Linked DNA regions of Macaca fascicularis. The protein of the gene in region 1 interacts with the protein of each later gene in a pairwise test. Links are inferred from orthologs where the notes say so. Each region holds a gene or a part of one and is shown on either strand. Other genes may lie near its edges.

What was found.
Region 2: the proteins of LRP6 (region 1) and GSK3A interact in binary tests that used the Homo sapiens proteins (3 or more experiments, as listed by UniProt). The link is inferred for Macaca fascicularis from reciprocal best matches to the Homo sapiens genes LRP6 and GSK3A.
Region 3: the proteins of LRP6 (region 1) and LRRK2 interact in binary tests that used the Homo sapiens proteins (3 or more experiments, as listed by UniProt). The link is inferred for Macaca fascicularis from reciprocal best matches to the Homo sapiens genes LRP6 and LRRK2.

Annotation. Positions count from the first base shown.
Region 1 is NC_088385.1:14,886,408-14,890,366, forward strand, and holds part of LRP6 (low-density lipoprotein receptor-related protein 6), read right to left. Parts: intron 3,377-3,959; coding exon 3,146-3,376; intron 1,882-3,145; coding exon 1,745-1,881; intron 1,113-1,744; coding exon 1,015-1,112; intron 1-1,014. UniProt on the Homo sapiens protein: Component of the Wnt-Fzd-LRP5-LRP6 complex that triggers beta-catenin signaling through inducing aggregation of receptor-ligand complexes into ribosome-sized signalosomes.
Region 2 is NC_088393.1:49,288,864-49,292,982, forward strand, and holds part of GSK3A (glycogen synthase kinase-3 alpha), read right to left. Parts: coding exon 4,081-4,119; intron 3,925-4,080; coding exon 3,814-3,924; intron 1,876-3,813; coding exon 1,745-1,875; intron 1,657-1,744; coding exon 1,550-1,656; intron 568-1,549; coding exon 470-567; intron 390-469; coding exon 294-389; intron 1-293. UniProt on the Homo sapiens protein: Constitutively active protein kinase that acts as a negative regulator in the hormonal control of glucose homeostasis, Wnt signaling and regulation of transcription factors and microtubules, by phosphorylating and inactivating glycogen synthase (GYS1 or GYS2), CTNNB1/beta-catenin, APC and AXIN1.
Region 3 is NC_088385.1:46,776,156-46,780,274, reverse strand, and holds part of LRRK2 (leucine-rich repeat serine/threonine-protein kinase 2), read right to left. Parts: intron 3,612-4,119; coding exon 3,542-3,611; intron 3,066-3,541; coding exon 2,848-3,065; intron 1-2,847. UniProt on the Homo sapiens protein: Serine/threonine-protein kinase which phosphorylates a broad range of proteins involved in multiple processes such as neuronal plasticity, innate immunity, autophagy, and vesicle trafficking.

The DNA.
Region 1 (3,959 bases):
GGGAGGCGGAGATTGTAGTAAGCTGTGATTGTGCCCCTGCATTCCAGCCTGGGCAACAGAGCAAGACCCTGTCTCAAAATAAATAAATAAATAAATAAATAAAAATAAAAATAAAAAGGCTGCCAGAGACCAAAAGTTACGTGACACACTGAGCGAGTTCTCAAAGGCTTTTACTATCAATACTGACATGGTGTCACAGTTACTGTTTTGTTTTGTTTTGTTTTGTTTTTGGTCTTAACTTTTTGTCCAATCAGGTGTCAATCCTTGGTGAAATTTCTAAGGTTAACATTTAAAAGTCCAAATACTTCTATTTTCATGAAAAAAATAAAACAAACTGAATTAACAAAATTCTTTCACGTCCCAGTTTAGACCAAAATCTCAACAAATGATGAAAGTTTTGACTCAGAGGAACAGAAATTGGGCTTATCTGGAAAATAGTTAAGCAAGAACAGTTTTTTATGCAATCATGTTTATTCTGCTGACTGCCTCATTCAATTTGATTTAAAGACATGACTTTTTAAAAATAATATTTTATATCTTTTCTCATTTCTCAATTTTCAGGCTTCTGCTTTCTCTGTTTTGGCTTCCTAGAAGAAACTTGTGTCAGGGAAAGCAGCATTACAACAAATCGTTAAAACAATCAGTTCAAAGCCAAGGCTATTTTAAACAGTCTTATCTGAACTGAAATGAGAATTCTGAGTGAGATACTTTAAGTGGTTCCCACTTTATTTCTACACGAGTGAGGTCATATCACTACACGAGTGAGCTGAGATCATGCCATTACACTCCAGCCTGGGTGACAAGAGTGAAACTCCATCTCAAAAAATTTTTTAAAAAAGTATAAAGTCCTGAAAGGAAAGGATCTGTGGTAGAGGCAATGTCAGTACTACCAGGACAAGATGACTAGCCTCTCTCTGGTGACCATCGTCTGCTCATTTGGAGACACATCAGGTCCACAACTAAAACACTTTCTAATAAATACTGCAACGTATTTTAGAGGGGGGTGTGTCTTACCTGTATGACCTATGAGTGGAAGGACTGTTTGAAGAATATCCAAATTCCATAGTGTAATGTGATCGCTCTGTGGCTGGGGATGGTGGAGGGTTCAAAATCTAAAAGAAAAATAATTAAAACATTAAAGTAACAACACAGAAACGATTAGACTTTCTTTCAGCTTTTCTTCCTTATCTCTATTAGTGTTTCTTAACAATATATCTTAGCACAATTCTTCTTTTCCAAAGAACTGACCTCAAACAGTACTTTGGGACTATGGCTTCCTCATTCCCTAAGACCTCATCATGGCTAAAAAGTGCAAAATGACAAAAACGAAAATCTGTAACCTAAAAATCATTGGTCAGCACAGCTAAGTCCTGGTTATTTAAAATTATAAGTATTTAGAGAAAAATTATTGATTTAGGAGAAATTCCAGGTGTGCTTCCTCTTTTGGGAAGTCGTAAAATGAAGGTCCTCATCCCTCAAGAGGTACCATTCAGTAGTTCCACTTTTACTTGAAATGTGAAAGTAATGCCCAATGCTTTCAAATATTCTGGTTATTACACAGTAACTTAAAAGACTTACAAGCATTGGGGGGCGGGATGTGGTAAATCCTTCTTTGAGCCCTTTATGCCTAAATTTCACATTCAAAAACGACTTTTACATTACTATCACTGATCACCCACATTTAAATGAGTTAAATATCTAAGATCCTATGTATGCTGCATTCAAAGGAAAACAGACTACTTACTGCAGGGAAGTAAGTGCCTTTGGTGCTTGAAGAACTACTTGATGATGCTCCTGTTACATGGGCTCGGTCGTAGGGGGGTCCACTGCTTCCCCCCATGATACTGAGAGAGCTGATCATTGATTTACCTCGAGACATTCCTAAAACAAAAGGAGGATAAAAACTGAAGATGCGTAAGATCTATAAAAATGTATCAAGCAATTTTATTCAACAGTAGGATGACAAATATCAATAGTCAAGTAGTCTGATTTTAAAATAACTTACACTCTATTCCTATAATTGAAAACATTTAATGGAGAAAGGAAATGAATGTTCTCTAGAAGTGAATGCTTCCACTGAAAAAGCTGGCCTAGAACAAAGCCAAGAACAGCTCCCACCTTCTCCCTCCCCTGGTAGAAGCAGAGCTATTTAAAATAAGGGCTTTTCAACCTCTTGGAGGATTTGAAAGGATTGTAAAGGGTAGAGGTTGTGAGGCAGGGTATATTACATAACAGACTTGCTCAAAAGAAAACAAAAAGCATTTTTTAGGGTACAAACAACATATGAAAGAGTATTTTTTCATCTAATGAATATAAATGTTTCTAGAATCAAAACTACCAGTGCTAAAGAAGAAATTCTATTTTTTCCAAGAAGCTTCCCAAATTTCACTAACTGAAAATAGGTATGGCAACAAAGACACATTACCATTAACAGTTTAAAAACCATGTTTGTCTACTTAAGAGTTACACCCATAGTAAGTTCCTATTTTTAGAGGGTTTTTGCAAGGCACCTCCTTCTCCATATTCATTAAAAGGAAGGCTTCTTTTAATTAAGGGCACCAGAAAACATTAAAAAGAACGCCACTTCCCTAGAGCAACATGGCCTACCCAAGTGTAAAACTTCTGGCCACTCAGCTATGCCCAAACTAGCCCTTTGTCCCCTGTTAGCACATGAAGTCAGGAGAAAACATAAGACATATTCCTCCCTTCTATCATCCAGCTATTTACAAATCTTTGTTGGCTGAAGGGAGTCTTACATAATTTTTGGCCTCCTTTTATTCATGGGCTCCATAGTACTAGAGTTCCCTGGTGGTGAACTTAAAGAACCTGTGGTTTATAACTCTTTCACTAAATGACTGGCTGATTCACCTTCTGTAGCATGCATCCAGAATTGTAGTCAGAGAGGCTTAGAGCTTGCATATGTATTTGCTTTATAGGCTCTGACAATTCCTACCAAACCATATCTAAGGCCTTCTGTGTAAAGAGAAGGTGCTAATAGTAAAAAAGAACATTTGTTCTTCTAATTGTTTAAACTCAGAGTAATATGGTTTCAAACAGACTCTAGGTAGTATTCTCTTCCACAGTGGAAACCTGGCAGTCTTGCAGGACCAAAGACTTGATACTCAATGGATCCATTCTGACTCACCTGGAAGAGATCCTGACAAAGAACTTGGGTGTGGCACATAACCAAGAGGCACAGAAGCTGGTCCATGAACTACATAGTCATTAGTCATGGTTTCCCCATCTCCCTTCATACGTGGACACAACATCCTCTGGCAGATAAAGTATATAGTTCCAGACACAAAAATGGTGACAATTACTCCAATAACAGAACCAACTGTATTGGTGGCCTGTGGTGCTGGTTCTTCAGTTGGATCTACAATGAAGAATGCAGTATGGTTATTTAAAAGAAAAAACAACTGTATATTCAAAATAGTAATCAAAAAGAGGGCTTGCTAATAGGAATGTGAAGCTATAAGCCTAATGAAGATAACTCATAAGCACTTTTCTTTTTTATGAATACATACACACCACGCCCCAAGGACATATGGAATAAATGTCATCATTAGGAATCAAAATGAACTACCCTTAAGTGAAGACAGAAATAAAACAATAGGTTGCAAAGTGTAATTATAAACTGACAGAAACAAAGATGGTAAATGAAGTACAGATTTAAACACCATTAAGAAGCTTTAAATAAATAAACAGATAAAATCCATTCTACTTCATTCTATATACCATACAAATGAACAAGGTTATTCCAAGATTTCAGGAAAAAATTTATGGCCAGAAGGGATAAACCTAGGCAAGTCATCAAATGTTTTACCTGGAATGGTGAAGAAGCCAAAATCAGCTCTGAGCACATGTTAGATTTTAGATTTGAATAGTGACATGTAGGCCTGATGAATGAAAACTGGAAACTAAAGATGAGCCTTAGCTCTCAAATCCCCTATGCTGCT
Region 2 (4,119 bases), on another chromosome or scaffold:
TTGAGGCCCAACCACTAAGGAGAGGTCAGTTTGTATCGGGTAAGCAGCCAGCCCAGGTCTGGGACCATATGAGCCCTGCTGACCCTCCATAAAAACTGGAATCTTGAATTTACTTGTGGGTTCTCAACTTTTAAAATGCCATAAACTTTGAAATCGGATGGAAGTTACTGATCCCTGGATAACTCTTCAAATCCTCCCAAGCCATGATTCTGAGGCCAGGTCCACAGAATAGTTGACCTCCAAAGGGGACCAGCTCTCAGCCATACTGCCCTGAGCCCCTAGTCCTGCCCCACCTTTGTCCAGGGGTGAGCTTTAATCTGAGGGAACTTGAACTCCGTGTAGTTGGGGTTCATCTCTCGGATTTGTTCCCGGGTTGGTGTTCCCAGCACCTGTAAAGAGAGGGGGGGTTCTGAGACAAGGGCCCCATCCCTCAGCCCCACCCCCTGCCCACCCCGGCCCCGCCCCTCACCTTGATGATCTCCACCAGCTGGTCCACCCCACTGTCCCCAGGGAAGATGGGCTGGCCCAGGAGGAGCTCCGCCAGTACGCAGCCAGCTGACCAAACATCTAAGGGGAAATGGGGGCAGCGTCAGGGCTAGGCGAGTAGGGCCACCAACCTCCCAGTGCTTTTATTCTTCATGGCCATCCTAAGAGTGTCAGGAGCCCTGTTTTCTCAAAGACGAAGCACCTGTCCCAAGGACACATGCAGCTTAGAAACATGGGCCTAACCTTGACCCTGCAGGTCTGCAAGCCTTTGCTCCACTCTCTAGTATAGGTGTGTTTCCAGCCCTCAGTTCCTCTCTCTGCTAAGGACCTCAATGAGCTCGCTCTCTCCCACTAGCCTTGGACGACAGACCAAACTAGGCCCAAACCTGCCAACAGGCACCCATGTTCTTTGGGCCACAGGAAGGTACAGCCTTAAATCCTGGACTGCCTTCCTCTTGTTCCAACCTTTATCCTGCCCATGAGAAGAGCTACAGCCTGGCAGTCTCACTCCTCCCTGCTTTGTACCTTGACCCCCCACAGCACGAGTTCATACCTAAGGACTCCACAGTTTGTCACGCTGCTGTGGAAGGTACCCTTTCAAAGTCTTTCATGCCCATTCCCTCAATTCAGGCTTCCCCTCATGCCTGGAAAATGGCAGTTGTCCCCACAAACGGAAGGACACAGAGGCCCTGGGAGCAAGTTGCACCTTCATGGTGGCAAAGCTTTGCTTCCTGGTTCCCCCAAGGTCTCTGGCAGCCCTTCCCCCTAGCTGAGAACAGAGGGCTGACAGGGAGGTTCCAGAGCTGGTATGGACTCTGGAGTCAGGTCAGCTTTCAAATCCCAGCCCTGCCCAGTCCCAGTGGTGCCAGTGCAGGCAGGCAGCCTCACAGCTCTAAGCTCATCTGTAAAATGAGCATTCAACAGCATCAGCCTCCTAAGTTTGTGAGGACTGGATACAAGAACAGAAGTTAAGCTTTCATCACCAAGCTTGGCATACAGCGCACAGTAAACTCCGAAATTTCCCAGATTGCCACTCCCCCCACCCCCCTCCCATAACTCTGACCGATGGATGAGGTGTAATCAGTGGCTCCAAAGATGAGCTCTGGGGCCCGGTAGTAGCGAGAACAGATGTAGGAGACATTGGGCTCCCCTCGGACCAACTGCTTCGCACTGTGGGAAAAGATGGGCAGGGGTAAACACGGGGCAAGGGCTGGGGTCCCCCCTGCCTCTTCAGCCACTCAAAACGCCCCAGGCCCACCTGCCAAAATCGCAGAGCTTGAGGACAGCAGTGTCAGGGTCCACCAGCAGGTTCTGGGGCTTGATGTCACGGTGACACACGCCCTGGGAGTGGATGTAGGCCAAGCTGCGGAAGAGCTGGTACATGTACACCTGGGGCAGGCACAGGACAGCAGAACTTTAGCCCGGCTTTCCCCATACAGCACCACTACCCCACCAGCTTGGCCTGAAGAGCCCTTCCAGGCCCACTCTCCCTGGTGCCACCACAGCTTTGGGGAAACCCGTTTGAAACCCTTGGTTCTCTTAGTGTGCACCACAGTCAGTTGGAGGACTTGTTAAAACAGGGACTACTGGCCGGGCGTGGTGGCTCACGCCTATAATCGCAGCACTTTGGGAGGCCGAGACCCGCCTGGCCAACATGTTGAGACCCTGTCTCTACTAAAAATACAAAAATTAGCCAGGCGTGGTGGTGCACGCCTGTAATCCCAGCTACTCGGGAGGCTGAGGCAAGAGAATCACTTGAACTCAGGAGGCAGAGGTTCCAGTGAGCTGAGATCCCGCCACTGCACTCCAGCCTGGGTGACAGAGTGAGACCCTGTCTCAAAAAACAAAAACACAGGGACTGCTGGGCCCCATTCTCAAGAGTTTCTGGTCAGTGAGTTCTGAATCAGGCATTTGCAACAAGCTCTCCAGCACTGATGCTGGTCCCCGGACCACACTCTGAGAACCACTGCTTTAATCACAACCCTTGGCAGAAGCCTGAAGAGTAAGATATGTCAGGAGGTTGTCATAAAACAGGCTAGGGAGCCAGGCACTCAGCTTCCCCCTCACCAAAACCACTGGCTCCTTAATCCGACAATCAAAACCACCCCTGAGCCTGCCCCCTCGCCAGCTTCATTTTCCTGCCACTCTCCCTCCCACTGACTAGAACAGAAGTACCATGAGAGCAGGATTTTGAGTTTCAGTCACTGCTGCATCCCCCAGGGCCTAGACAGACCAGGGCCTGACAGGGCTGCTTTCTAGACCCCCTTCCCTTTATTCCACTTCCCCTCGGCCAAAGATGCCGCTCCCTTGCCCTGTGCTTGGTCTCCTCCAGGAAGCTTTCCTTGATCCTTCTCACCCACACACCAGGCTGGGTGCTTCCTCCATTTCCAGAATTCCCTGTGTTCCTTCTAGTATGGCAGCAGCTAGTTCATTTAATAGTTTTCTGTGATGATGCCTGTCTACCCTACCAAACTGAGAGCTCTTCAAGGGCAAGGCCTGCGTCGCAGTCAGTGGTGCGTCTGGAATTCCTCAGCCCTGGGCCCCGTGTGCAGGCAGCCACAGGACAGATTGGCCAAACCAGAGAGCTCCCCTCCTGGGAGGTGAGGTCCAACAGCCACAACCACTGGTAGAGTCCACATCGGCTCACCCAGGCTTGGGTACGTAAAGCCAGCAGAAGCAGCAGCTGGGCCCCAAGTGACCTCCAGCAAACAAACCCACCCACCTCCTTCCAATGCAGTAGGCTGCTCCAGCTTGTTTGCCACATCATCCCTGGGCTGCAATCATACATTCATTCATTCATTCATTCATTCATTCATTCATTCATTCATTCAAACACCTCCTGAAGGTCTGTAACACCCAGGGCACGGCACCAGGCACTGAGGAATGAGCCTGCACAGATGATGGACGGAGATGCATTCCTGGCTGTGTGGATGCTAACCTTCCTCCAACCCTAACTCCTTCCCACCTACCCCCAACCAAGGCTCTAAAGGCCCGAACTCTGGCCTCAGCAGCTTCCTATGCAGTCCTGGTCCCCACCACCCCTTATCCTGAGCTAACTCCAACATCTCTGGTGCCACTGGACTCCCTATATGGACCTAAGCAAGTACCTGGCAGCCTCTGCAGCCCCAGGTCAGGCTGCCTTCCTGATTCAGTTAGGCCTTGCCTGCCTTGGCCCTCCCCTGTGTCAGGCAAGCTCCATCTCTGGGGGTCATGGGGCCTCCGAAAACCAACACAAACTTGGCAGATGAGGGATCCCATAAAAGGTGGGAGGCTCCAGAGCCCCTGGCTTTCTGGGTCTGGGTCCCAGCAGCCCGCCTGCCAGCATACCTTGACATAGAGGATAGGGATGGTCAACTTGGCCTTGGTGAAGTGGCGGGCCACCCGGTACACTGTCTCGGGCACATATTCCAGCACCAGATTTAGGTAAAGCTCATCTTTCTGCAGGGAGCAAAGGAGAGGCGTGAGGCACTGTGAGAAGAGTGAGGAAGGGGGAAGGAAGGTGTGCAGGCAGCAGTGGGGGAAAGGCAGGTGGGCAAGAAAATGGCTGGAGTCGAGGTGGAGCAACCCACCACCACCACCACCTCGAGGTCTCACCTTCTCCCCACTGGAGTAGAAAAAGTATCTCAGCCTCAC
Region 3 (4,119 bases), about 32 Mb from region 1:
GGTAACTAGAACCATCAAGAATTTTCAAAAAGTTGAAAACACAATCCACAACAGAATTTCAGTATACTGATTAGCCCAATCACCTCTGCTTATAGCATGGGTAAAACCAGCAAAATTACAACGGTAGACTGTAAAAAGCAGGTTCATGAAAATAGAGTTGAAAGCTTCCTTCAGCTTTTTTGTAAATTATTTCCAGAAAGAGCAAAATGGAAGCAGAATAGGCCTCAACAAATATTTGAATTAATGATTTAAGAAAAAGCACAACATAATCCTGGGAATATGTTTTAAATGCTGTCAGAAATTGTTACATATTTTGATATATATAAGATTTAACCATAAAAATAGTTACATACAATATGTGTTTCATTTTAGAACCTCCTCTTTTTTATGAAACTTTTTGTTTCAAATTTCTACTTTCCATTTTTAAGCAGTTTATAATTTTACAATGATAACAGCAAACCCCTACTTACATATTACATCGACTTTTTACAACTTTGTTATGTAATACTCTTAAAGAGCTCAACTGCCAAAAACAATCACTTCTCTATGTTCTTCTTTATATATCAGTATATTTATCCACACAAGAAATTCTAGACTTTGATATGATTATAGAGGCTTATTAATGACTCTTTGCCTCAGAAGTTGTTTCAAAATTCCTGCCTTTGTTTCAGACCCTTATTAACTTATTCCAAAGTAAAGATTTTAAAATTATTCCCAGGGTTTAATCAGAAAATTTTCTTATAAAAAGGAACATAGTTGAGACTCTTTGACAATAACAAACAAACAAAGTACCATCTAATGGTGTCATTTTGAAATTTCCCTAAGAGAAGGTTCTGAGCTTGTCCAGTCATTGAATGCCAGCATGTCTCACCTTATCACCATCTCTTCCAATTCTCTTTTTTTTTTTTTTTTTTTTGAGACGGAGTCTCGCTTTGTCGCCCAGGCTGGAGTGCAGTGGTGCGATCTCGGCTCACTGCAAGCTCTGCCTCCCGGGTTCACGCCATTCTCCTGCCTCAGCCTCCCGAGTTGCTGGGACTACAGGCGCCCACCACCTCGCCCGGCTAGTTTTTTCTATTTTTTAGTAGAGACGGGGTTTCACCGTGTTAGCCAGGATGGTCTCGATCTCCTGACCTTGTGATCCGCCCGTCTTGGCCTCCCAAAGTGCTGGGATTACAGGCTTGAGCCACCGTGCCCAGCCTTCCAATTCTCTTTGTTTTAACTAGACTAAATCTCAGAATTATTTCACTTGCTCATTTAACAAATATTAATTGAAGTATTACCAAGTTTCAGGCATTAATGCCTCCACAAATCAATTCAGTAAGTATCTACTAAACTTCTACCATATGTCAGGTCTCACTAGGCACTGGGAATAGACAGAAACAAGCCTGAAACAAGTCCTGTCCTCAAGGAGTTCACAGTTTAGTGAGGGCAAAGGTACTTTAAATCAAATTGGATGACTGAATGAGAATTAGAGGGAAAGCATCATGTGTTATGGAAATGGAGGTTAGGTGGCCAGGTTGGCTGGAGGGTAGAAGGAAAAAGGAAGAGAAGCAGAGAGTGATGAAGTGACATTTAAATTGAGCCCTGGGTGACTTGAAGTATTTAGCAAGGCAAAGAGGTGAAGAGAGAAAGACACATTTTAGACATTACAGCATGGCTGGAGGAGTGGGTCACCTTTCTTTCTTCTCTCTGTCTCCAGATATAAAAACTTTACAGAGAAAAACACCCCTTAAATATACTTAAAATTTATGTAATATTGCCTTTAAAACATCTCAAAATTATGATAATTTTTTAGACTTAAAAAGGGGGAAATGCATTTGCAACAAGACTTTTTTTTGTTTTGTTTTGTTTTTTTTTTTGAGATAGGGTCTCACTCTGTTGCCCAGGCTGGAGTACAGTGGTGCAATCTTGGCTCACTGCAACCTCTGCCTCCCAGGATCAGGCAATTCTCCTACCTCAGCACCCAGTAGCTGGGACCACAGGTGCACCCCACCACACATGGCTAATTTTTTGTATTTTTGGTAGAGACAAGATTTTGCTGTTGTTTACGCTGGTCTTGAACTCTTGAACTCAGACAAATCCACCTGCCTCAGCCTCCAAAGTGCTGGGATTATAGGCATGAGTCACCACGCCCAGCCTTGAGAATTTAATTTAACAATTTAAACATTTGCATTAAAATAATTTTAATTTTCATATCTTCTTTGGCTTTCAAAACTATTTTGATCTGTAGTACATACAAATGTTGAGCAAAGTCAATTTTCAGAGAGCTATCCTATCAACAAACTATATTATAGTTTAATTCTTATAAGACAGGAACTTTGACCAAAAATGAAAATCTTTTAAGTTACACATTATTTTAAACTGGAAAAAAAAATAAGCCACAATAATCATTTAGTTGAATCTCTATTTTACAGATGAGAAAATGAAAGATTAGAGCAGGAGGAGTGACATGTTCGTATTGTCACACAGTTGTAGCTGAGTCAGAGCCAGTACTACCAAACCAGGTCTAATTCTAGTTTACCTAATCTAATTTAAATAGTTGACGTTGTCTTACTTGAATTAAATGATTAAAGTTTAATCAATATACACTTGATAGACTTTAATATGTACTCTGTACAAAACCTAGAATTTCTTTCTAATCAGATCTGTTTCCACGGCCTGCCCTCAAAGATGCTCCTGAACATCACACAGACTAAGATATGTGTGCAAAAACCAGAAGAACGGGGGACTTATTGCCCAGTGACACAAAAGCAGAATGTTCTTTTAAAAGACTTAATCAGGCAAACTAGATATAAATACAAAAGCTCTTCAAACGTCTTAAAAGTTACAAGGATAAATTAAATTTACTTCACATAGCTGTTGTGGAAAGCTCGTGAGTGCATTCTGGTGAAGCTCCAGCTTTTCAAGATGCTCCAAATGACCACTTATACAGGATTTCTGGCTTAGGGCATCAATATCTCTTAGTTCATTTGCTGAAAGGTCTAGTGATGTAATATATTCTCTCTCAGAAGCCAGAGAAGAAATGCTGTCTGAATGCCTCATATGGGATTGAAGTTTTGATGACCCTTTTGTCAAAAACAGACAGACAATGGAAATATAAGCAAATAATTTAAATTCATGTAGTGAAAGTTTACTGAGCACCTCCTAGCAATCAGGCTTTCTTCAGGGCACTGAAGATTCAGTAGAAAACCAAACTATGGAGTTTACATTCCAGTGGCAGAGATGAACAGTAGATAAAAAGCGTTTAATCAGGTGGTATAAATGGTGTGGGAAAAAGAAAAACTGGAAGAGAGGATGAAGAGTGGCACTGGTGGGAGGTGTTATTTACATTTCAGAAAACTTGTAAAAATAAAGACTAACGTGTTCTATAATATTCAAGAAAGGTAAATTTTAAATGTATACTTCATTTTTCTATAGCTTATGGGAAATTATGTAAGATGAAACTGGCCCCAAGAATATTTGAATAATTGGAGGAAATTCAACCAAACACTGTATTCTGCCCAAAGTATCTATTTACTTATGATTACATCCAAATACTTACTGAGTGAATCATCTGAAGATAATATTTTTCTTTTTCTTCTCAGTAAATCTTCATGATCAAAAATGGGCCCCTATTAAAAAAAATGATATTTATAATAAAATTGCTGTCACTTGTTGGACAAGAGGACATTTTTATAAGGAAAGAACCATGAAATTTTAATAGGGTTAAATGGTATTTATAATTATGGGAAAAAATAGGCAAGTAAAAACTAAGAACCCAATTATGAAGATAAAAGAAAACAATTCAGTTTTGTGCTCAAATGACCTTAGTATCTACTCTTTCTCTTTTGTTTTAAATATAAGGAAACTGAAAAACAGAAAGGTTGAGTCAAAAAGCTATATCTATATAATTTCTCTCATTAACCAAACTACTTTTTATAACTAAATTTATATATAAATTCGAAAGAGCATATATAAAGCTGAGAGCTAATTTAACTGATTCAACTATAGTCATTCATTTCACCCATCTTAAGGTCTAGAATTAACATATAAAAACACTGATATTTTTAGTACTCAGCTATAATCAAAATTAGAGCATAGGTTAGAATAGATCCTTCAAAGTGAACCTGAGAATAAGGT